4 linked regions of the Saccharomyces cerevisiae S288C genome follow. The main gene of each other region encodes a partner of the protein of the gene in region 2 in a complex. Each region holds a gene or a part of one and is shown on either strand. Other genes may lie near its edges. The genes, in order: YCS4, SMC4, BRN1 and YCG1. A codon is read from its position in the direction of its gene.

The links.
Region 1: the proteins of SMC4 (region 2) and YCS4 are in contact, whole or in part, in a cryo-EM structure (PDB 6YVU), measured with the Saccharomyces cerevisiae proteins. Residues at the interface, in NP_013187.1 of Saccharomyces cerevisiae: Gln1283 (codon at 5,723), Asn1290 (codon at 5,744), Val1296 (codon at 5,762), Asp1297 (codon at 5,765), Ser1298 (codon at 5,768), Leu1299 (codon at 5,771), Asp1300 (codon at 5,774), Ser1303 (codon at 5,783), Met1311 (codon at 5,807), Lys1314 (codon at 5,816), Ser1316 (codon at 5,822), Trp1317 (codon at 5,825), Arg1360 (codon at 5,954); in NP_013374.1 of Saccharomyces cerevisiae: Glu901 (codon at 4,614), Val1006 (codon at 4,929), Cys1007 (codon at 4,932), Val1012 (codon at 4,947), Glu1014 (codon at 4,953), Ala1044 (codon at 5,043), Gly1045 (codon at 5,046), Gln1046 (codon at 5,049), Gly1088 (codon at 5,175), Ile1090 (codon at 5,181), Asp1091 (codon at 5,184), Gln1126 (codon at 5,289), Glu1129 (codon at 5,298), Lys1130 (codon at 5,301).
Region 3: the proteins of SMC4 (region 2) and BRN1 are in contact, whole or in part, in a cryo-EM structure (PDB 6YVU), measured with the Saccharomyces cerevisiae proteins. Residues at the interface, in NP_013187.1 of Saccharomyces cerevisiae: Pro175 (codon at 2,399), Val184 (codon at 2,426), Gly185 (codon at 2,429), Pro186 (codon at 2,432), Asn187 (codon at 2,435), Ser189 (codon at 2,441), Ile363 (codon at 2,963), Glu367 (codon at 2,975), Lys368 (codon at 2,978), Leu371 (codon at 2,987), Asn1385 (codon at 6,029), Phe1388 (codon at 6,038), Leu1394 (codon at 6,056), Val1395 (codon at 6,059), Gly1396 (codon at 6,062), Val1397 (codon at 6,065), Tyr1398 (codon at 6,068), Lys1399 (codon at 6,071), Arg1400 (codon at 6,074), Thr1407 (codon at 6,095), Thr1408 (codon at 6,098), Ile1409 (codon at 6,101), Lys1410 (codon at 6,104), Asn1411 (codon at 6,107), Ile1412 (codon at 6,110), Asp1413 (codon at 6,113), Ile1414 (codon at 6,116); in NP_009455.3 of Saccharomyces cerevisiae: Leu101 (codon at 2,210), Lys108 (codon at 2,231), Ser693 (codon at 3,986), Ser712 (codon at 4,043), Thr713 (codon at 4,046), Ser714 (codon at 4,049), Phe715 (codon at 4,052), Phe717 (codon at 4,058), Ile718 (codon at 4,061), Leu721 (codon at 4,070), His722 (codon at 4,073), Ala724 (codon at 4,079), Asn725 (codon at 4,082), Leu729 (codon at 4,094), Gln730 (codon at 4,097), Ile731 (codon at 4,100), His733 (codon at 4,106), Asn736 (codon at 4,115), Tyr737 (codon at 4,118), Asn738 (codon at 4,121), Leu740 (codon at 4,127).
Region 4: SMC4 (region 2) and YCG1 share a complex: the UniProt entries of both Saccharomyces cerevisiae proteins name them as parts of the condensin complex.

What each region holds. Positions count from the first base shown.
Region 1 is NC_001144.5:683,160-689,115, reverse strand, and holds YCS4 (condensin subunit YCS4), read left to right. Parts: upstream 1-1,913; coding exon 1,914-5,444; downstream 5,445-5,956. Other genes in the region: protein phosphatase regulator PIG1, read left to right, coding at 1-33; CMG1 (Cmg1p), read right to left, coding at 5,555-5,956. UniProt on the Saccharomyces cerevisiae protein: Regulatory subunit of the condensin complex, a complex required for conversion of interphase chromatin into mitotic-like condense chromosomes.
Region 2 is NC_001144.5:300,367-307,042, forward strand, and holds SMC4 (condensin subunit SMC4), read left to right. Parts: upstream 1-1,876; coding exon 1,877-6,133; downstream 6,134-6,676. Other genes in the region: ARP6 (Arp6p), read right to left, coding at 307-1,623; CSF1 (Csf1p), read right to left, coding at 6,489-6,676. UniProt on the Saccharomyces cerevisiae protein: Central component of the condensin complex, a complex required for conversion of interphase chromatin into mitotic-like condense chromosomes.
Region 3 is NC_001134.8:38,922-43,634, forward strand, and holds BRN1 (condensin subunit BRN1), read left to right. Parts: upstream 1-1,909; coding exon 1,910-4,174; downstream 4,175-4,713. Other genes in the region: BNA4 (kynurenine 3-monooxygenase), read left to right, coding at 224-1,606; MRX3 (Mrx3p), read left to right, coding at 4,356-4,713. UniProt on the Saccharomyces cerevisiae protein: Regulatory subunit of the condensin complex, a complex required for conversion of interphase chromatin into mitotic-like condense chromosomes.
Region 4 is NC_001136.10:1,115,408-1,120,743, forward strand, and holds YCG1 (condensin subunit YCG1), read left to right. Parts: upstream 1-1,718; coding exon 1,719-4,826; downstream 4,827-5,336. Other genes in the region: small subunit rRNA maturation protein UTP4, read right to left, coding at 1-1,356; YSP2 (Ysp2p), read right to left, coding at 5,202-5,336. UniProt on the Saccharomyces cerevisiae protein: Regulatory subunit of the condensin complex, a complex required for conversion of interphase chromatin into mitotic-like condense chromosomes.

The sequences.
Region 1 (5,956 bases), 380 kb from region 2:
CGTGATTATTTTTATAAGTCGCCGTCACCCTAACCATCGCCCATATTACAATAATAACAAAATCCTTGGAATGAAGAGAATAAAATTTTAATTAAAATTAATAAAATAGTTAATCATATTCTTTTGCCTTCATAGATTAGATATGAAATATTTTGCTCACATAAGTTAATATTGCTTTTGCATTTTTGTTTCTGACTTTAGTTTCTCATTAGTCGAAATGACTTTAGTTCTTTAGAAATATTTTAAATTCAGTGGGGGATTTTCGTTCTTTATTGGTGCAAATAACGATTAGTTTTTCATTTCACGATATTTAGCTGCAGTTGATAGGTGATATATCTGCTTTAACTCTTACCTTTACAGTTTGTGATGAAATGATAGGTTTAAACAGTCGTTTAAAGAGTTGTATAACAAAAGGACTCTTAACAATCGAAGTTTTTTTAACATGTTAACACCATCTTTAGTAAACGTTATATTATTGAGTATGTGAAATATACTAGAAGTTCTCCTCGAGAATATACGAATCAATAAAAGAGAAACAATATTTCTCCACAAAATCTTATAATTATTACACCTTTCGTTTTATATGTTTCATTGTCCTATTACATTATCAGTCCTTGCATTTCAGCTTCCATTATATTTGATGACTGTTTCCCAATCTTTATGCCATCTTGTTACACCGCATATGATAATAGATTCTAGTAACATGAATACTACTAATAAATGATATTTTAGAGTTTCATTTCAACAAATATACTATGTGAAACAGTAGTCAAATTTAATATGAAACCGAACATGCGAGAATTGAGGATTAATAGGATGTGAAACATATAAAATGGAAGAAAGATAATTACAAAATTTTGTGGAGAAATGTTGTTTCCATGTTATTGAGTCTTATATCCTTGAGGAGAAACTTCTAGTATATTGTGTATACATAATATTATATTGCCTTAAGCAAAATGGAATCCCAACAATTATCAAATTATTCACCAATTGATCATACACAATAGTTGATTATCATTTCAACATTATAACCTTATACAGAGAGTAATATACTAATGGATGAATACTACCAGTAGAATAAGACATAAACAAATATGATTAATGTCACTTTTTGCTTTTTTGCCGTCATTCTTTTTTATTTTTGTATAATTGGTGGTGTAACGTGGATTAAACATAAATAATAGGTTTCGTGGTCTAGTCGGTTATGGCATCTGCTTAACACGCAGAACGTCCCCAGTTCGATCCTGGGCGAAATCATTTTTTATACCTGTTATATTTCATAGAAATGTAGTAGTATTGCGAGATGAATAAAATGTCTGCTATTCAATAGTAAGGGCTTCTTTCCCCCACCTCTTTTGTTTGATTTTAAAATTATTATCAAGTAACGCGTTGTTTTCTTGTCGCGAGCCTTTTATTTACAACGAGTAAGGGTCAGGATATCTATGGAGTTTCTAGCTTGATCGTTATCACAAACTTTACTACTAAATGATAATTGTTGGTATGAACAGTATATATATATATATATATACATGTTCTGATCTTGAAAAAAAAATAAATAAAAAATGTTATTGATTGCAAGAATTTGGAAAGCAATTCATATGAGAAATTAAAATAACCAATTCCAGATTCTTTTTTTTTTTTTTCACTTTTCGAATTAAGTATCTTAAATACTGCACTTGTATATTTATATTCTTACTGTTGTAAAAAGAAAGACTAATGGCCTTTGTCAATTGCACTTTGGGTAAATTGGAAAGCAATAATATGAAAATTAAACGCATCGCGAAAATCTTGCGACCATTTAGTAAACAAAGAAAATAACCTGTCACTGACCAAAAAAAAGAAAGGTAAAGGAAGCAGCAGTAACAATATCTTTATCCTTTGATAGGTGGTAACTGACTTCGTTACTTTATGAGATGTCCGGCTTTAGCCTTTCCGAGTATCTGACCAAGTTCCAAACAACAGATCGAGAATCATATCCTCGCTTGCAGGACCCATCCAGAGAACTGAATGTTATCATAGACCAATTGGCCGTTTCACCCGAACAAATAGATGCTAGTCCAGATTCACTAGAAGCATTAATAGATCTTTGCCATGACTTCCCGCACTTAACACCGAAATTACAAACTCAACTAAGCTATTTGATAAGTTCATCTCTGTCGAATCTGTCAAAAGATATTAAGGCTAATCTCTCATCAAATGTTAACTTTACTGAAATTGGTGGCCTGATACCGCAGTGGAAAAGGCATTTAGAAGAGTATGGCTACCTTATTCAGGTACTTTTGACGTTTTTACAAGATGAGTTACATAAGGTCTCCTCGCAGTCTACCAATCTAAACCGTTCTGCCAAAAACAGTAAGAATGATAGTGCAAACGTCGAGCTGTTTAAAAGAGACTGTAATCAAATGGAAAACTTGCTTGAATCTATAACAAAGCTACTGGAGATTAACTTATCTAAGATATTTCAGACAACTCCTGAAAAGGATTTGTTTATTGGTTTGTTCACAAGACCATTATTTGTGTTATTAGAGATTGAACCTGTGACGAAGGTATCATCACTAAAGATGTTTATTCAAAGGATTTTGGCTATGTGTGTTAAAAATCACGGTCAAAGTTCAAGTATACAAAGTTCATTGATGACAAATTTAACTTATTTTCTTCATTTGTCGGTTTTTAATGCAGAATTACTAAAACTATTGAATGATGAATATAACTATCCACAACTAACAGAAGATATCTTGAAAGAAATCAGCACCAGGGTATTTAACGCAAAGGATACCACAGGCCCAAAGGCAATATCAAATTTTTTGATTAAATTATCAGAGCTATCACCAGGAATAATGCTTCGACAGATGAATCTTGTCATCACCTTACTCAACAATAGTTCTATAACATTGAGATGTTCCGTTGTAGAAGCATGTGGAAATATTGTGGCTGAATTGGCTCAAGACCCACAAACTATGGAACATTATAAACAACAAATAGCCGTACTTATTGAGTTACTAGAAGAAAGATTCCAGGATTCAAATCCCTACGTTAGAACGAAGGCGATACAAGGGTGTTCAAAGATCTGCGATTTGAGTTCGAAATTTAACAAAAGCAAAGCTAAATTTACTTCGTTGGCAGTACGATCATTGCAGGACCGCTCCTCTTTAGTTCGTAGGAACTCAGTAAAGTTACTTTCAAAATTATTGCTAAAACATCCTTTTAAGGCCATACATGGTAGCCAATTGAGGCTGAGTGAATGGGAAGAATATCTCAAAGGATCTGAATCACAGCTAAATTCCACTTTAAAGAAAGTAGAGTCACAAGAAACTCTGAATGACACGATTGAAAGGTCTTTGATTGAAGAAGAGGTAGAACAAGATGAAGGTCAATGTAGGACCGAGTTAGAAGGTTCTTTCAATAAGAGCGCAGAACTTTCTAGAATAGAAAATGAGGTAGAGAATATAAATGCAACAAATACCAGTGTTCTCATGAAGCTAAAGTTAATGATTGTTTACTATAAAGATGCCATTAGTTTCATTAAAGAGATACACAAGAGTATTGAATTGATATCTAATTTGCTGTTTTCTAAGAACAGAAACGAAGTTTTAGAATCAATGGACTTCCTAGTTTTAGCAGACGCTTTTGACATTGAGTTAAGCGAATTTGGTATAAAAAAAATGCTGCATTTGGTTTGGATGAAGGGCACAAACGATGAAGGAACGAGTATATCAGTACATTTGATAGAATGTTATAAGCAGCTATTTTTAACCGCGCCAGATAGTTGCAATATGCAGGAGAAGGCGGCACATATTGCCAAAAATTTAATTAATCTAAGCATCGGCGCATCTATTGCAGACTTGGCCTCTTTGGAACAGCTATTAGGAATGATGTATGAACAAAAATTGATTGATCAACATGTCATTAATATCCTTTGGGCTATTTACAATTCTGCATCGAAGGCCAGTATGCAGAAAGAACAAAATGTGAACAACCGTGACTCCGAAAAAGGGTTTTCTAAGGAACAAATTCATGGTTCTATTATTATTTTAGGAATGTTATCGTTAGCCGATAACGAAATAGCATTAAAAGGACTGGAGTCACTTTTAAACATTGGACTTGGTGCCGTTGGTTTAAAAGATCTGACCCTTTGTCGGTATTCTTGTTTAGCGTTAGAGAGAATGGTTCCCAAGAGAAGCACTATTATTACCAAGGCAATAAATCAAGAGCTTGAAGATGTTGCAGTGAAAAAGTTGTATGCCATAATTATCAACTATACCAAGGATAATGAATATTATCCTATGTGCGAACAAGCGCTTAGTGCACTGTTTACAATCTCTTCTAAGCCCGATATACTAGCTACAGATCTGATTAGAGAAAAGACAATGATGACATTTGGTAAACCTGAAGAGGAAGACTCTATTTTGTCGTTAGAACAATCATCTAGAGTTGTTTCTCTCAGTCAATTATTATTCATTGTAGGACAAGTGGCAATTAAAACACTTGTCTATCTAGAGAAATGTGAGGCAGAATTCAAGAAAAGAAAGATCGAGGCAGAAACTCGGAACGGTAAAGTAAAAAACCAAGGTGCAGATGTAACTAACACCACACAAGATAACGGTGGTGATAAAGAGCTAGAAATGATAGGAGGTACTAATGAGGACGATTTCACGGATGCTATTCAATTTGTAAAAGAGAATGAATTACTATTTGGAGAAAAATCTATATTAGGGAAGTTTTGCCCAATTGTAGAAGAGATTGTTTCTAATTCAAGCAGGTTTAGCGATCCAATGCTTCAAAGAACGGCAACCTTATGTCTAGAAAAACTAATGTGTTTATCATCAAAATATTGTGAAAAGAGCCTGCCGCTATTAATCACAGTAATGGAAAAATCTCCTGATCCTACTATTCGCTCAAATGCTGTCTTAGGACTAGGTGACATGGCAGTATGCTTCAACAACTTAGTAGACGAAAACACAGATTATTTGTATCGCCGTTTGCATGATGAAAACTTAATGGTACAAAGAACATGTTTAATGACAGTTACCTTCTTGATTTTAGCTGGACAGGTTAAGGTTAAAGGACAATTAGGAGAAATGGCCAAATGCCTAGACAATCCAGACCAGGGAATAAGTGATATGTGCAGATTATTTTTCACCGAGTTAGCATCCAAGGACAACGCCATTTATAATGGATTCATCGATATCTTTAGTAATTTATCGTCAGATGATTTATTGGGTAAGGAGAGTTTCAAGAAAATCATCAAATTTCTGTTAACTTTTATCGATAAGGAACGGCACCAAAAGCAATTAAACGAGAAATTAGTTGGAAGACTGAGAAAGTGCGAGACCCAAAAGCAATGGGATGATATTGCATTCGTACTAAACAATCTACCATACAAAAATGAAGACGTCACTGCATTATTGGAGCAAGGTTTCAAGGTTGTATCCGCAAAAGAATAATCGAACTGACGTTTACCCGTTTCTTCCGTTTTATATTATATGTTATTATATAAATAAAAGCTGTTCATTTCTTTCTTCTTGAAATATGACTTTACCTATCTCGATAAAATTCATTTGTGGTCGTCTTCATTCACTCCTGGGCAATGCTCGTAGAGATCACCTTCATCCTTATACTTGATTCCGCAAAAAAAACAGTAGTACTTCTCGGACCTCAGGAATATATTCAATTTTGTTATTCTTTTTTCAATGCTCAATTCTTCTAATTCAGCAAGTTCTGTGTCTTTTGTAATGCGACTACCGATAATTGAAGTATCACAATCTATTAATGTAGAAGGACGTCCAAACTTTTCACCTTTTATTGCAGGCGAAGCCTCCAAACTTTCATTTACCATTGGTATCATATTATTCTTATCTTCATTATCATTGTTACTGTGATTATTTAGGTCATTTTTTGCTACTTCCTCATTTAGTTGCATAACGTAAGATCTCCAAAGTACGTTAAAGTCTCTCGG
Region 2 (6,676 bases):
CTACAAAGTCTAGTATGGGGATGATTAAAGCGCACACTTTCCTTCGAGACTTCTGATGATGACATTTCCACATTTCCATATATTTCTTTTTTTGTATCGCGAAAAAATGGGAAGAATGGCGTTTCTAACCACTAAAAAAGAGGAATTTTTGCCTAATTTGGGAATTTGTCAATAAAAATGTAAAACATATGAGATGTATTATTGCCTGCGGAAGATTCTTAAAAACATGACAAAATCCAAATTGAAAATGACCTGAAGGTCTCGACTTTTCGGATTTTCATTGTTGCTATGTAAATCTATAGTTAATTATATCCAATTCTGGTAACCAAACCTGTGCTTCGTACACCAATCGGGACCATGCTCATAGTATTCTTCTCTTGTGACCCTCGCTTTTCGGTAGGAATCTGTCTTTGCAAACTGTGACATCACTTCCCACCCAAACAGAGCACAGTCACCTTCGGGCACCGAAACATGACAAGTCCAATCTGTGGGTAATTGCCTTTGTAGTTCTGCCGCAAGCCGTTGGGCGAAATTGGGCAGATTAAAGTTTCCTCCTGTACATACAATGTTTCCTACCATAAGAGGTCGCACTATTTCGGGCAACATGGAAAGGCTCTCTAGGATGGCCTCCACAATGCCTGGTTTAGTAATTTGCGAAATTTCTGGATGGAAAAAAGTTTCTGGTATTGTGAAAAGCTCATCTGTCAGTGTTATGATCTGCGCATCTTCAGGTAACGGTACATTTTCTTTTCTGGGGTTTCTTACGTAACCAAGAAAGCTTGTTTGGAAGTCAGGAAGTACATATTCTAGTGCATGCTTATCCTTCGTTTTGAAACTATCAAAATAAGACACCGGGCTAACGAACAAGCATTGTTCCTTGATATTGTTAACAAGTATGGTTTCATCCATCATATTGTAGTGTCTGAATGATAGAGTTTCCTTTAGTAGCCCAGTTAGGAAACGGCCTCCAATGTCCAATTTTTTTACCGCTTTATAGTACGGTATTCCCTTCAGGACAGGAATTATCCAAGTACAATTAAACCCGGAATCAATAACTAATTGGAAATCATGATAATCGCTACCTGAATCCTGCGCATTCTTGGACTCGCTTGATGTGGAATTTGTACTGTCTGAGTTGCCACGGACAATATCGATATCTTCGTCCTTACCTGAAATTGTTCTCATTTCACCCTTATATGACTTGGTAAATGGTACAAAGACTGCTACAGGAGACTTGAAAAGACTGTCGAATTCATATTCTTCAAATATCACCTGGTCGGCATGCTTACTTAATTCTGGTAAAGTCATACAGCTCTCGCTAGCAACCAAATGATGACCCTTTCCCTCTTTCAGATCAAACCCATCAAACTCTGAAGGATTGAAAAGGCAATAATCCCATATACAACTCTCTAATTCCCATAATGTGAGCTGTCCTAGTTCATGTGGCCTCCTGAAGGTGATAGATGAAATATCTTTGATGTTTTTGATATGATTTGATAAATACGATGTCCCAAATTTATCTTTGGCCAATGCATTTAAAGCTCGGAACGGTTTCTTATTCGTGGAAGGACCAAACTTGATTTCGTATGAGCCATTATCAATCACAATGGGTGGTGTTTCCATAGTTTAAATTATCTTGTCCACGATTCTGCGCTTCTTCTCCTTTGGTCTTGCATTAATTCTCTTGTTCTTCTTGGCCCATTTTGAAATGCATTTGTAATTATGGACGGAAAGTAAACTGTTTACAATAATCACGAAAATACATATAGGTTTACATTATCTACACACTGGAATCGATTTCATACCATAAAAGAGGCCCTATAAGAAGCCGCATCACCTTAAACACTAACCACGTGCAACCAACAGAATATATTTGATGTCTGATAGTCCATTGAGCAAAAGACAAAAGCGGAAGTCCGCCCAAGAACCAGAATTATCTCTTGATCAAGGTGATGCCGAAGAAGATTCGCAGGTAGAAAACCGAGTTAACCTAAGCGAGAATACACCAGAGCCGGATCTTCCTGCGTTGGAAGCATCTTATTCCAAATCTTATACTCCCAGAAAGCTTGTTTTAAGTTCTGGGGAAAATCGGTATGCCTTTTCTCAACCTACAAACTCAACAACCACGTCATTACATGTACCGAACTTGCAACCACCAAAAACCTCTTCTAGGGGTCGCGACCATAAGTCCTACTCTCAATCACCACCAAGGTCTCCAGGAAGATCGCCAACTAGAAGATTAGAATTGCTCCAGCTTTCGCCAGTGAAAAATAGCAGGGTTGAACTACAAAAAATTTATGATAGGCACCAGTCGTCGAGCAAGCAACAGAGCAGACTATTTATTAACGAACTAGTCTTAGAGAACTTCAAGTCCTACGCTGGTAAACAAGTAGTAGGACCCTTTCATACTAGCTTCTCGGCCGTGGTAGGCCCCAATGGTTCAGGTAAATCAAATGTCATCGATTCCATGTTATTTGTATTTGGATTTAGAGCGAACAAGATGAGACAGGACAGATTGTCGGATTTAATTCATAAATCAGAAGCTTTCCCAAGTTTGCAATCATGTTCCGTAGCTGTACATTTTCAGTACGTTATTGATGAATCTTCGGGTACTTCCCGAATCGATGAAGAAAAACCTGGATTGATCATTACAAGGAAAGCCTTTAAAAACAACTCATCGAAATATTACATAAACGAAAAAGAAAGTAGCTACACAGAGGTGACAAAGCTTTTAAAGAATGAGGGTATTGATTTAGACCATAAACGATTTTTAATTCTACAAGGTGAAGTAGAGAATATTGCTCAAATGAAGCCTAAAGCAGAAAAAGAGAGTGACGACGGACTACTGGAATATCTGGAGGACATAATTGGAACTGCAAACTATAAGCCGTTAATTGAAGAGCGAATGGGACAGATTGAGAATCTAAATGAAGTTTGCCTGGAAAAGGAAAATAGATTTGAAATTGTTGATAGAGAAAAAAACTCTTTAGAGTCAGGGAAAGAAACGGCGTTAGAGTTTTTAGAGAAGGAAAAGCAGCTGACGCTTTTAAGATCAAAATTATTTCAATTTAAATTGTTGCAAAGCAACTCTAAACTTGCCAGCACCTTGGAAAAGATCTCCTCTTCGAATAAAGACCTCGAAGATGAGAAGATGAAATTTCAAGAATCTTTGAAAAAAGTGGATGAGATTAAAGCACAACGTAAGGAAATAAAAGATCGAATATCATCTTGTAGCTCGAAAGAAAAGACCCTGGTTTTAGAAAGAAGAGAATTAGAAGGCACCAGGGTGTCTCTAGAAGAGAGAACAAAAAATTTGGTAAGTAAAATGGAAAAAGCAGAAAAGACTTTGAAATCCACCAAACATTCAATATCGGAGGCCGAGAATATGCTTGAAGAGCTTCGTGGACAACAAACCGAACACGAGACGGAGATCAAAGACTTGACTCAATTGCTGGAAAAGGAACGAAGTATACTTGATGATATTAAACTATCTTTGAAAGATAAAACGAAGAATATATCTGCAGAGATTATTCGGCATGAAAAGGAACTGGAGCCTTGGGACCTCCAACTTCAGGAAAAAGAATCACAGATACAATTGGCTGAATCCGAACTATCTTTGTTGGAGGAAACTCAAGCTAAACTGAAAAAAAACGTTGAAACTTTAGAAGAAAAAATTCTTGCCAAGAAAACACACAAGCAGGAGCTACAAGATCTTATCCTCGATCTGAAAAAGAAGCTGAACTCACTTAAAGATGAAAGGTCGCAAGGTGAAAAGAATTTTACTTCTGCTCATCTAAAGTTAAAAGAAATGCAAAAGGTTTTGAACGCGCATCGCCAGCGTGCAATGGAAGCTAGATCCTCTTTATCAAAAGCTCAGAATAAAAGTAAGGTTTTAACAGCTTTATCGAGACTGCAAAAGTCAGGACGTATAAATGGTTTCCATGGACGTTTGGGCGATTTGGGCGTTATCGACGATAGTTTTGACGTTGCTATTTCTACTGCTTGTCCGAGACTAGATGATGTCGTGGTTGATACTGTAGAATGTGCGCAACACTGCATCGACTACTTAAGAAAAAACAAACTTGGTTATGCAAGGTTTATTCTCTTGGATAGGTTACGCCAATTCAATTTACAACCTATCAGTACACCAGAAAATGTACCGAGACTATTTGATTTAGTTAAACCTAAAAACCCAAAATTCTCAAATGCATTTTACAGTGTTCTTAGAGACACTTTGGTTGCTCAGAATTTAAAACAAGCCAATAATGTAGCATATGGGAAGAAAAGATTTAGAGTTGTCACTGTGGATGGGAAATTAATTGATATTTCTGGTACAATGAGTGGTGGTGGCAACCATGTAGCAAAAGGTCTAATGAAATTAGGTACGAATCAGTCAGACAAGGTTGATGATTACACCCCCGAGGAAGTAGATAAAATTGAGCGTGAGCTATCTGAAAGAGAAAATAACTTCCGCGTGGCAAGCGATACGGTCCACGAGATGGAGGAAGAACTGAAAAAATTGAGGGACCACGAACCAGACTTGGAATCACAAATATCAAAGGCAGAAATGGAAGCTGATTCCTTGGCGAGTGAATTGACACTGGCAGAACAACAAGTGAAAGAGGCAGAAATGGCGTACGTCAAGGCAGTTAGTGACAAAGCGCAACTAAACGTGGTGATGAAGAATTTGGAACGCTTGAGAGGCGAATACAATGATTTGCAATCCGAAACAAAAACTAAAAAGGAAAAGATCAAAGGCTTGCAAGACGAAATCATGAAAATTGGTGGTATCAAATTGCAAATGCAAAATTCAAAAGTTGAATCAGTTTGTCAGAAATTGGATATTCTAGTGGCCAAACTTAAAAAAGTCAAATCTGCCTCAAAGAAGTCAGGAGGAGATGTCGTAAAGTTTCAAAAACTGCTCCAAAACTCTGAAAGAGACGTAGAACTATCATCAGATGAGTTAAAAGTCATCGAAGAACAACTAAAACATACAAAACTGGCTTTGGCAGAAAATGACACAAATATGAATGAGACGCTCAACTTGAAAGTTGAATTAAAAGAACAGAGCGAACAACTGAAGGAACAAATGGAGGACATGGAGGAAAGCATCAATGAATTTAAATCTATAGAAATCGAAATGAAGAACAAGCTGGAAAAATTGAACTCACTGTTGACGTACATCAAAAGTGAGATAACGCAGCAAGAAAAAGGATTAAACGAACTATCAATTAGGGATGTAACCCACACCCTGGGAATGTTAGACGATAATAAAATGGACTCAGTGAAAGAGGATGTTAAAAACAATCAAGAACTTGATCAGGAATACCGGTCCTGTGAAACTCAAGATGAGAGTGAAATAAAAGACGCTGAGACTTCTTGTGACAATTATCATCCTATGAACATTGATGAGACTTCAGATGAGGTATCCAGAGGGATACCAAGACTTTCTGAGGACGAATTAAGGGAGTTGGACGTAGAACTGATTGAAAGTAAAATAAATGAATTGTCATATTATGTCGAAGAGACTAACGTGGATATTGGAGTTTTGGAAGAGTACGCTAGGCGCTTAGCAGAGTTCAAAAGAAGGAAGCTGGATTTAAATAATGCTGTTCAAAAAAGAGATGAAGTTAAGGAACAATTAGGAATACTTAAAAAGAAAAGATTTGATGAATTTATGGCTGGCTTTAATATCATATCAATGACCCTAAAAGAAATGTACCAAATGATTACTATGGGTGGAAATGCTGAATTAGAACTTGTGGATAGTCTAGATCCTTTTTCTGAAGGAGTTACGTTTAGTGTTATGCCTCCTAAAAAGAGTTGGAGAAATATAACAAACCTTTCAGGTGGTGAGAAAACACTAAGCTCCTTGGCTTTGGTTTTTGCTTTACATAAGTATAAACCAACCCCCCTTTATGTCATGGATGAAATAGATGCCGCTCTGGATTTCAGAAATGTCTCAATCGTAGCTAACTATATCAAAGAAAGAACCAAGAATGCACAGTTTATTGTTATTTCGCTGAGAAATAACATGTTCGAATTAGCACAACAGTTAGTTGGTGTTTATAAAAGAGATAATAGAACCAAAAGTACCACGATTAAAAACATAGATATCTTAAACAGAACTTAGCTAGTACAATAATCAATTCAAGAGCACTTGCTGATTGTAATATCATGCTATCAAAGAAGTTTAAAGATACTACCCAAATTCCCGCCTGTTTATTTCTTCTTTTGGGCAGCAGTTAGGAAATAAAAAAAAAAAAGGTCAATGATAATGCACCAAAAACAGAAAGTACATGTATATCTTAACAAACTCTCAAAATACAATTTAAACAAAGTTTTTTGAAGCAAAATTCGAATGCAAGATTCATAAATATGGGGCGTAGGAAATCTATACTATATGCAAATATCACGTAGTTAAAAAACTATAAAACATAAACCAGAAATATGGTATCAAGGACTTTTGAATATAATTAGGAACGAGATTAATGCGTATCATCTAGTATCTTGACATACTGCTTTTCTGCAAGATAAACAAGCTTTTGGACGGGGATAACTGCGGTTTGGTGAGTGAATTTCGGAAATTTTTTTCTATTGACACCAAACCATTCCATAGGTGGAGTGGCGTCTCCCAGATCTCTTATCTGAGGCACTTCGATCTGCGGTTCTTCTA
Region 3 (4,713 bases), on a different chromosome or scaffold from region 2:
CAAAAATAAGGAAATATCGCCTGCAAGCGGTTTTTATTTTGGAGTTGTTTTTTTTTTTCCCACAATAGCCTCTAGTTTATTCCATTCTTAGCACTGACTCTTTTTTCCGCCACTATTTCTTATAAAAGGCCCGAATTTCTGGCACGGACGTTGTTTTTAATAATAAAATATTGAATGACAGTTAAAAAATCACGTAGTCAGTTAATCTGTTTAACTTGAAAATATGTCTGAATCAGTGGCCATTATAGGTGCAGGATTAGTAGGCTGCCTTGCAGCTTTGGCATTCTCCAAAGAAGGCTACAATGTCACACTATATGATTTTAGACAAGATCCTCGATTGGACACCACCAAAAATAAAAATTTGAAATCCATTAATTTGGCTATTTCTGCTCGTGGCATTGATGCTCTGAAATCAATAGATCCGGATGCTTGTGAACATATTCTGCAAGATATGATTCCCATGAAAGGCAGGATGATTCATGACTTGAAAGGCAGACAGGAATCACAATTGTATGGCTTGCATGGAGAAGCTATTAATTCTATCAATAGATCTGTATTAAATAATAGCCTTTTGGACGAATTAGAAAAATCTACAACAGAACTGAAGTTCGGTCACAAATTAGTCAAAATCGAATGGACAGATGATAAACAAATCTGTCATTTTGCCATTGGGGAAGATTTGAAAACCCCACATACTGAAAAGTATGATTTTGTCATAGGTTGTGACGGAGCATACTCTGCGACGAGATCGCAAATGCAACGTAAAGTTGAGATGGATTTTTCACAAGAATATATGAATTTACGTTACATTGAACTTTACATCCCGCCTACTGAGGAATTCAAGCCAAACTATGGCGGAAATTTTGCAATAGCTCCTGACCATTTGCACATTTGGCCTCGTCATAAATTCATGTTAATTGCGCTCGCCAACAGTGACGGCTCGTTCACTTCAACCTTTTTCGGTTCTAAAGATCAAATATCAGATCTGATAACTTCCAAGTCACGTGTGAGGGAATTCTTAATCGAGAACTTTCCCGATATTATTAATATTATGGATTTGGACGATGCTGTCAAAAGGTTTATCACTTATCCAAAGGAAAGTCTTGTCTGTGTAAACTGTAAGCCATACGATGTACCAGGCGGAAAGGCCATCCTACTCGGCGACGCTGCCCATGCAATGGTTCCATTTTACGGCCAAGGTATGAATTGCGGATTTGAAGATGTGAGAATTCTTATGGCGCTATTGAAAAAGCATTCAGGAGATCGTTCAAGAGCCTTTACTGAGTACACTCAAACAAGACATAAGGACCTAGTTTCTATTACTGAGCTGGCAAAAAGGAACTATAAAGAAATGTCACATGACGTTACATCCAAGCGGTTTTTATTAAGGAAAAAGCTAGATGCTCTCTTTAGTATTATAATGAAGGATAAGTGGATACCTTTGTATACAATGATATCTTTCAGATCCGATATCTCGTATTCTAGAGCTTTAGAAAGGGCTGGAAAGCAAACACGTATCTTGAAATTCTTAGAATCTCTGACACTCGGTATGTTATCTATTGGCGGTTACAAGCTTTTCAAATTTTTGACAAGAGAACGTTCCTGAAGCCAGTTTATTCTTGCCATCCGTGTACGCTAGGAGAGGATTATTAAAATAAGTGATATATACATATATATATATATATATATATATATAATACACTAATTATTTTATGTGATGTTGATCACGCGAAACGGTAAACGGCTCTGTTCGCGCTTTCTTTGTTTACATTTTAGTGAAGTATTGTCAAGATAATATCCATATGGTTGAACTTTTTATATTGGCTAGTTAAATACTCTATTTATTGCACCAAAAAATCATCTTAGTGGACTTTTTGGAGCAAAAAAAACCAGCAGGTAGTTATATAAGATGACTACACAACTAAGGTATGAAAATAACGATGACGATGAAAGAGTAGAATATAATCTCTTTACCAATAGATCCACCATGATGGCAAATTTTGAAGAATGGATCAAAATGGCTACAGATAATAAAATCAATTCCCGAAATAGTTGGAATTTCGCATTGATCGACTATTTTTATGACTTGGACGTTTTGAAAGATGGCGAGAATAACATCAATTTTCAGAAAGCATCTGCAACCTTGGATGGGTGTATTAAGATTTACTCTTCGAGAGTTGATTCAGTGACAACGGAAACAGGTAAGTTATTGAGCGGGTTGGCACAAAGAAAGACGAATGGGGCATCTAACGGAGATGACAGTAACGGGGGAAATGGTGAAGGGCTTGGAGGTGACAGTGACGAAGCAAATATAGAGATTGATCCCTTAACTGGTATGCCTATATCTAATGATCCTGATGTGAATAACACTAGGCGGAGAGTGTACAACAGAGTTTTAGAAACAACATTGGTGGAGTTCGAAACGATCAAGATGAAAGAGCTAGACCAGGAATTAATAATTGATCCATTATTCAAAAAGGCCTTGGTTGATTTCGATGAAGGTGGCGCCAAGAGTTTATTGTTGAACACATTAAACATAGACAACACTGCAAGAGTCATTTTCGATGCATCAATTAAGGATACACAAAACGTAGGGCAAGGTAAACTTCAAAGGAAAGAAGAAGAATTAATTGAAAGAGATAGTTTAGTAGATGACGAAAATGAACCTAGCCAGTCATTGATAAGTACTCGTAATGACTCAACCGTAAATGATTCCGTTATTAGTGCACCTTCCATGGAAGATGAGATTTTATCTCTTGGTATGGATTTTATAAAATTTGATCAAATTGCGGTGTGTGAAATTTCAGGATCGATTGAGCAACTAAGGAACGTTGTCGAAGATATTAATCAAGCGAAAGACTTTATCGAAAATGTTAACAACAGATTTGATAACTTCTTAACTGAAGAAGAATTGCAAGCAGCTGTCCCAGATAATGCAGAAGATGATAGCGATGGCTTTGATATGGGCATGCAACAGGAGCTGTGCTATCCAGATGAAAATCATGACAATACATCACATGATGAACAAGATGATGATAATGTCAACAGTACCACAGGAAGTATATTCGAAAAAGATTTGATGGCATACTTTGACGAAAATCTAAATAGAAACTGGAGAGGGAGAGAACATTGGAAAGTACGAAATTTTAAGAAAGCAAACTTAGTGAATAAAGAATCCGACCTGTTGGAAGAAACGCGAACTACTATAGGAGATACTACTGACAAAAACACAACGGACGACAAATCGATGGATACGAAGAAGAAGCATAAACAAAAAAAGGTTCTGGAAATTGATTTCTTCAAAACGGATGATAGTTTTGAAGACAAAGTCTTTGCCTCAAAAGGAAGGACAAAGATTGACATGCCGATTAAGAACAGAAAGAACGACACACATTATTTACTGCCGGATGACTTCCATTTTTCCACTGATAGAATAACAAGATTGTTCATTAAACCGGGGCAGAAAATGAGTCTGTTCAGTCATAGGAAGCATACCAGAGGCGACGTTAGTTCGGGGCTTTTTGAAAAAAGCACAGTTTCTGCCAACCATTCAAATAACGACATTCCTACTATTGCAGATGAGCACTTTTGGGCGGATAATTACGAAAGGAAAGAACAAGAGGAAAAAGAAAAGGAGCAGTCTAAAGAGGTTGGTGATGTGGTGGGTGGAGCGCTCGATAATCCGTTTGAAGATGACATGGACGGTGTTGACTTCAACCAAGCTTTCGAAGGAACAGATGATAACGAGGAGGCCAGTGTGAAACTTGATTTACAGGATGACGAAGATCATAAGTTCCCCATTCGAGAAAATAAAGTTACTTATTCAAGAGTTTCGAAAAAAGTTGACGTAAGAAGATTAAAGAAAAACGTATGGAGATCGATCAACAATTTGATACAAGAACATGACAGTAGGAAAAATAGAGAACAAAGCTCTAATGACAGTGAAACCCACACAGAAGATGAATCAACAAAGGAGCTCAAGTTTTCTGATATCATTCAGGGTATAAGTAAAATGTATTCGGATGATACACTAAAGGACATTTCAACAAGCTTTTGTTTTATATGCCTTCTACACTTAGCCAATGAGCATGGGTTGCAGATAACTCATACCGAAAACTATAATGACTTGATAGTGAATTATGAGGATCTAGCGACAACACAGGCAGCGTCATAGTTGATGATCTTTTTTTTTTTTTTTTTTTTTTTTTTTGTGCTGCAAAGTTTCTTAAAGCCTTCGGGCTTACGAAATCCTTTATCGCCGAAAGGGGACCGCTTCGAAAAGTGGATATAAAACAAGGTATTTATTTTTATAGACAATGACCAAATGACAGGATAGATCGAGGGTGAGTTCCAATATGTCCAGAACTATTCCATTTCTATTTAAATTAGTCAACAGGGCAGTAATTTTGCCTACGGCAGGTTTTACATTAGGAGTTGGTGCGTTTGTAAAGGCGTGGCCCGATGATGCCGGTGTTCTATCATTGAATGATCCGCAAACGCCAGCGGAGTTGATTAGTGCGACCAAGAGCCGCCAACCTATGGAGCTGCAGAGGGTTGACATCCTCGCTCAAATCGAGAAAAGCGAGGTTTACAACAAGTTGGCCCAGGATGAGAAGATGCACCATGTCTTATTCAGTGAGAAAATACCAAGCGGGCATAGGGAATATCATGTAGGACAAGGCCTCTTGTTCGGCAAGGGGAAGCTTGAAATTG
Region 4 (5,336 bases), on a different chromosome or scaffold from region 2:
ATGAAAAACTTTAGTGGTAGAGGGCCTCCCTACGACTAAAACTTGTCCATCAGGTGATAAAGAACAAGTTGAGATATTCTGGTCATCTTTTAAAGTTAACTTGCAAACTAGCTTATAATTCTGTTCTGTACTAGAATCGGTTCCCATTGTCCATATCTTAACAGTAGATTCGCTCCATGAAACAACAAGGCGTTGCTCTTTGTTAACTAAAACATTCTTTGAATAAGGTTCGACAGTTGGCATCTTCCTGTAGTTTCCATTAGAAAAAGAAGTAAGTGAGTTGATGACTAGTGTTTTTTCAACACCTCCTGAAACTAGAAAATCTGCACCTTTAGATTGGTATGCACATATTGCTCTAATGTCGTTTCCATGAAGCAACCTATTAGAAGAATTTACCCATCTGTTGTTCTTTTGAGATTTGTTAGTGTTTTGAGAAAATTGAAAGATTTTTCTGTCCACACCAGCACTAAAAACATAATTATTATCAGTATCGGTAGTTAGACACAGTACGTCTGCATCGTGCGCCTTAAATGACTGGTTTAGCGTGGCAAACTGGAAATCCCAGAATTTAATGGAGCCTGTAGAATCACCAGAGGCAATCTGATCAGTTCTTGGTAAATATATAACTGACCAAACTAGAGTTGATTCTTTTTTGGCCTTGTCGACCTTCATAGTGTGTAATAGACGACCCATGTTTTCGTCATTTTTTTGTGCAGACCAAATCCTTATTCTACCATCAGAACAACCACCAATCACGAAGTCATCCTTTTTCCAAGCCAAAGTCAATACTCTGGCTTCTTGTCTCATCAAAATAGTATCGTGTTCCAAGACACCAGGCCCGCCAGAGATATCTATGAGGACCACCGTCCCATTATCGCAACCCACAGACAGCTTGTCTTGTGAATCGTTGATGGAAATAGACCATATCACACCTGAATTGCAATCATAGTTTCTTAATGGTAAACCTGTTGCTAAATCCCATTCTGTTACCACAGTCGAGCCGCCAATAGAAAATAGCCTTAGAGACTCGCCGTTAACGTTGCTCCAGCAAAGGCCTTCAATTGATCTGTCTTTGCCACCTTCGATAACCATTTCCTGAAACCAATTGTTTCTAGGATTCCAGATTTCTATGTTACCATTAGATCTACCAATAGCTAATCTCAAATCGGACGGAGTTAACTTATTTATATTTGATTTATGTGAAAATGCTAGAGATGTGATTGTGGCAGGAGTGAAATCCACAAATCTGCATCTATGCACTATCATCCTTTCCTGACTGGTCATCTTCACCGGTTTGTTTCGTATTTTCAGGCTTCTTGACTTTTCTTTTAAAACTGAAAGTAGCGATGAGCTCATTCGTAGCTTTTTTCTTGTCAGTCTGAAAATTTTTCATTTGGTTTTTTGAAAAAAATCCTGCCTAATATGGTATCAAGAGGAATAACAAGAAAAAAAAATCATGGGGGATACAAAGGAAAACAAGGAGATAATGCAGGTTATACTGAATTGCTCATAGTATTAGCCTAAAGCACTTTACCTCTGATTTATTGCATCTATCGTATTCTTGAGTTATTGCGACTTTTAAAATCCGTGCACCGCATATGAAAGGGTAGAGCCTTCGTGTTTGTTTACCTTTTTAGCTCTTTGAAGATCAAACAAAAACACTTCAGTAATGCCTACAGCCTTGGATAAGACAAAGAAGTTAACAGGCCGCGCCCATCATGCAAGATCCTGATGGTATTGACATTAATACGAAAATCTTTAACTCAGTTGCTGAAGTATTTCAAAAGGCACAGGGTTCTTATGCAGGACACAGGAAGCATATAGCAGTTTTGAAGAAAATTCAGTCAAAGGCTGTTGAGCAAGGCTATGAAGATGCTTTTAACTTTTGGTTCGATAAATTAGTTACTAAGATCCTTCCTCTGAAAAAGAATGAGATTATCGGAGACAGGATAGTAAAGTTAGTAGCTGCATTTATAGCTTCTTTAGAAAGGGAGTTGATATTGGCCAAAAAACAAAACTATAAGCTCACGAATGATGAAGAAGGGATATTCTCAAGGTTCGTCGATCAGTTCATAAGACATGTTTTGCGTGGTGTGGAAAGCCCTGACAAGAACGTCAGATTTAGAGTTTTACAGTTATTAGCCGTTATAATGGATAATATAGGGGAAATCGATGAATCACTTTTCAATTTATTAATATTGTCTTTAAATAAGAGGATTTATGATAGAGAACCAACGGTTAGGATACAGGCTGTGTTTTGTTTAACTAAATTTCAGGATGAAGAGCAAACTGAACATTTAACTGAGCTTTCTGATAATGAAGAAAATTTTGAAGCTACGAGAACTCTAGTTGCTTCTATCCAGAACGATCCGTCAGCTGAAGTACGGAGGGCTGCAATGCTGAATTTGATCAATGATAATAATACTAGACCGTATATCTTGGAGAGGGCTAGAGATGTAAACATCGTTAATAGAAGGCTCGTGTATTCGAGAATTTTGAAATCAATGGGAAGAAAGTGTTTCGATGATATTGAGCCGCATATTTTTGATCAATTGATTGAGTGGGGTTTAGAAGATAGGGAATTATCAGTGAGAAATGCGTGTAAGAGACTCATTGCTCATGATTGGTTAAATGCTCTGGATGGCGATTTGATAGAATTACTAGAAAAATTGGATGTCTCAAGATCCTCAGTGTGTGTTAAGGCTATAGAAGCACTTTTTCAATCAAGGCCAGATATATTATCTAAAATCAAATTTCCTGAAAGTATTTGGAAAGACTTTACCGTAGAAATTGCCTTCCTCTTTCGGGCTATTTATTTGTACTGTTTGGATAATAATATAACAGAAATGCTGGAAGAAAACTTTCCAGAAGCCTCAAAATTATCCGAGCATTTAAACCATTATATTCTTCTCAGATATCATCACAACGACATTTCTAATGACTCTCAGTCGCATTTTGATTATAACACTTTAGAGTTTATTATTGAGCAACTATCGATTGCCGCCGAAAGGTATGATTATAGCGATGAGGTTGGAAGGAGATCGATGCTTACAGTGGTACGAAATATGCTGGCCTTAACTACACTCTCCGAACCTCTTATTAAAATTGGTATTCGTGTAATGAAAAGTCTGTCCATAAATGAAAAAGATTTTGTAACAATGGCAATAGAAATCATTAATGATATTAGAGACGACGATATTGAAAAACAAGAACAAGAAGAGAAAATAAAAAGCAAGAAGATTAATCGCAGAAATGAGACTTCCGTCGATGAAGAGGACGAAAACGGCACACATAATGACGAAGTTAACGAGGATGAAGAAGACGACAATATTTCATCCTTCCATTCTGCTGTAGAAAACTTAGTGCAGGGAAACGGCAACGTATCTGAGAGTGACATAATAAATAATCTCCCACCCGAAAAGGAAGCGTCCTCAGCAACAATTGTTCTCTGTCTTACAAGGTCATCATATATGCTAGAACTAGTTAACACACCGTTAACAGAAAACATTTTAATTGCGTCGTTGATGGACACTTTGATCACACCAGCGGTTAGAAATACCGCGCCAAATATTAGGGAGCTTGGTGTCAAGAACCTTGGTTTATGTTGTCTCTTGGATGTGAAGTTGGCTATTGATAACATGTACATCTTAGGTATGTGCGTTTCGAAAGGTAATGCATCATTAAAGTATATTGCGTTACAAGTCATTGTAGATATTTTTTCCGTACATGGGAACACTGTGGTAGACGGAGAAGGCAAAGTTGACTCAATCTCGTTGCACAAAATATTTTACAAGGTTTTAAAGAATAACGGTTTACCGGAATGTCAGGTGATAGCAGCGGAGGGTTTATGCAAACTATTTTTGGCAGACGTGTTCACTGATGATGATTTGTTTGAAACGTTGGTTTTGTCATATTTTTCGCCGATAAATTCCTCAAACGAAGCGCTGGTACAGGCATTTGCCTTCTGCATTCCAGTCTATTGTTTTTCACATCCTGCTCATCAACAACGTATGTCTAGGACGGCTGCGGACATACTCTTAAGACTATGTGTTCTTTGGGACGATTTACAGAGCTCTGTAATACCTGAGGTAGACCGTGAAGCTATGCTAAAGCCTAACATAATATTTCAACAGTTGCTATTTTGGACTGATCCACGTAACTTAGTTAACCAGACAGGTTCAACAAAAAAAGATACAGTGCAGCTTACATTCTTGATCGATGTGCTCAAAATATACGCTCAAATTGAGAAGAAAGAAATAAAGAAGATGATCATCACTAATATAAACGCTATATTTCTTTCTTCTGAACAAGATTATTCTACTTTGAAAGAACTTCTTGAGTATTCTGACGATATTGCAGAAAATGATAATTTAGACAATGTTAGCAAAAATGCTCTGGACAAGCTAAGGAATAATTTGAATTCGCTGATTGAAGAGATCAATGAAAGGTCAGAAACTCAGACAAAAGATGAGAACAACACTGCGAATGACCAATACTCGTCTATTTTGGGGAATTCATTCAATAAATCTTCAAATGACACCATAGAACACGCTGCTGATATAACTGATGGAAATAACACAGAATTGACTAAAACAACTGTTAATATTTCGGCAGTTGACAATACAACAGAGCAAAGTAACTCAAGGAAAAGAACGAGATCAGAAGCGGAGCAAATTGACACATCCAAAAACCTGGAAAACATGAGTATTCAAGACACGTCAACTGTAGCAAAAAATGTAAGTTTTGTTTTACCTGACGAGAAATCAGATGCAATGTCCATAGATGAAGAAGATAAGGATTCAGAGTCTTTCAGCGAGGTCTGTTAAAATTGATATGCGAGCTCTTCATCTATTTAAGTTGATTTTTTGGTTGTAAACATATTTGTATTTTATTCTTAGGTTTGTTAATTCTTCTACGCTTACCAGATATAGATGCTATATGTTATTGCATTACGCACATTACCCGGTGGGACAAATTATGGAAATATTCCAAGGCTATAAATTCTTTGGTGAAAGGAACTGAAATTATGTCCAGTAATGCACCAGAAATGGACATATAAAACTATTAATGCATTTTATTACAATTATCCTAAGAAAATATCCTATATATAATTAAAGTAAAAGAAATAAGATCAAAAGAACAAAATAAAGTCGAGTAGAATTTTCCTACTTGACTATATTAGAACGAAAAATGTTATTTTATCAAAGTAATTGGTTAGTAGCCGACGTGTTATCCGTTTGGGCCAATAATTCTTTCATTTCTTGCAGCTGCAATTCGGTGATTTTTATAGATTCAACTAGCTGCTGTATTTTATGATCACTAACTCCATTTACGAG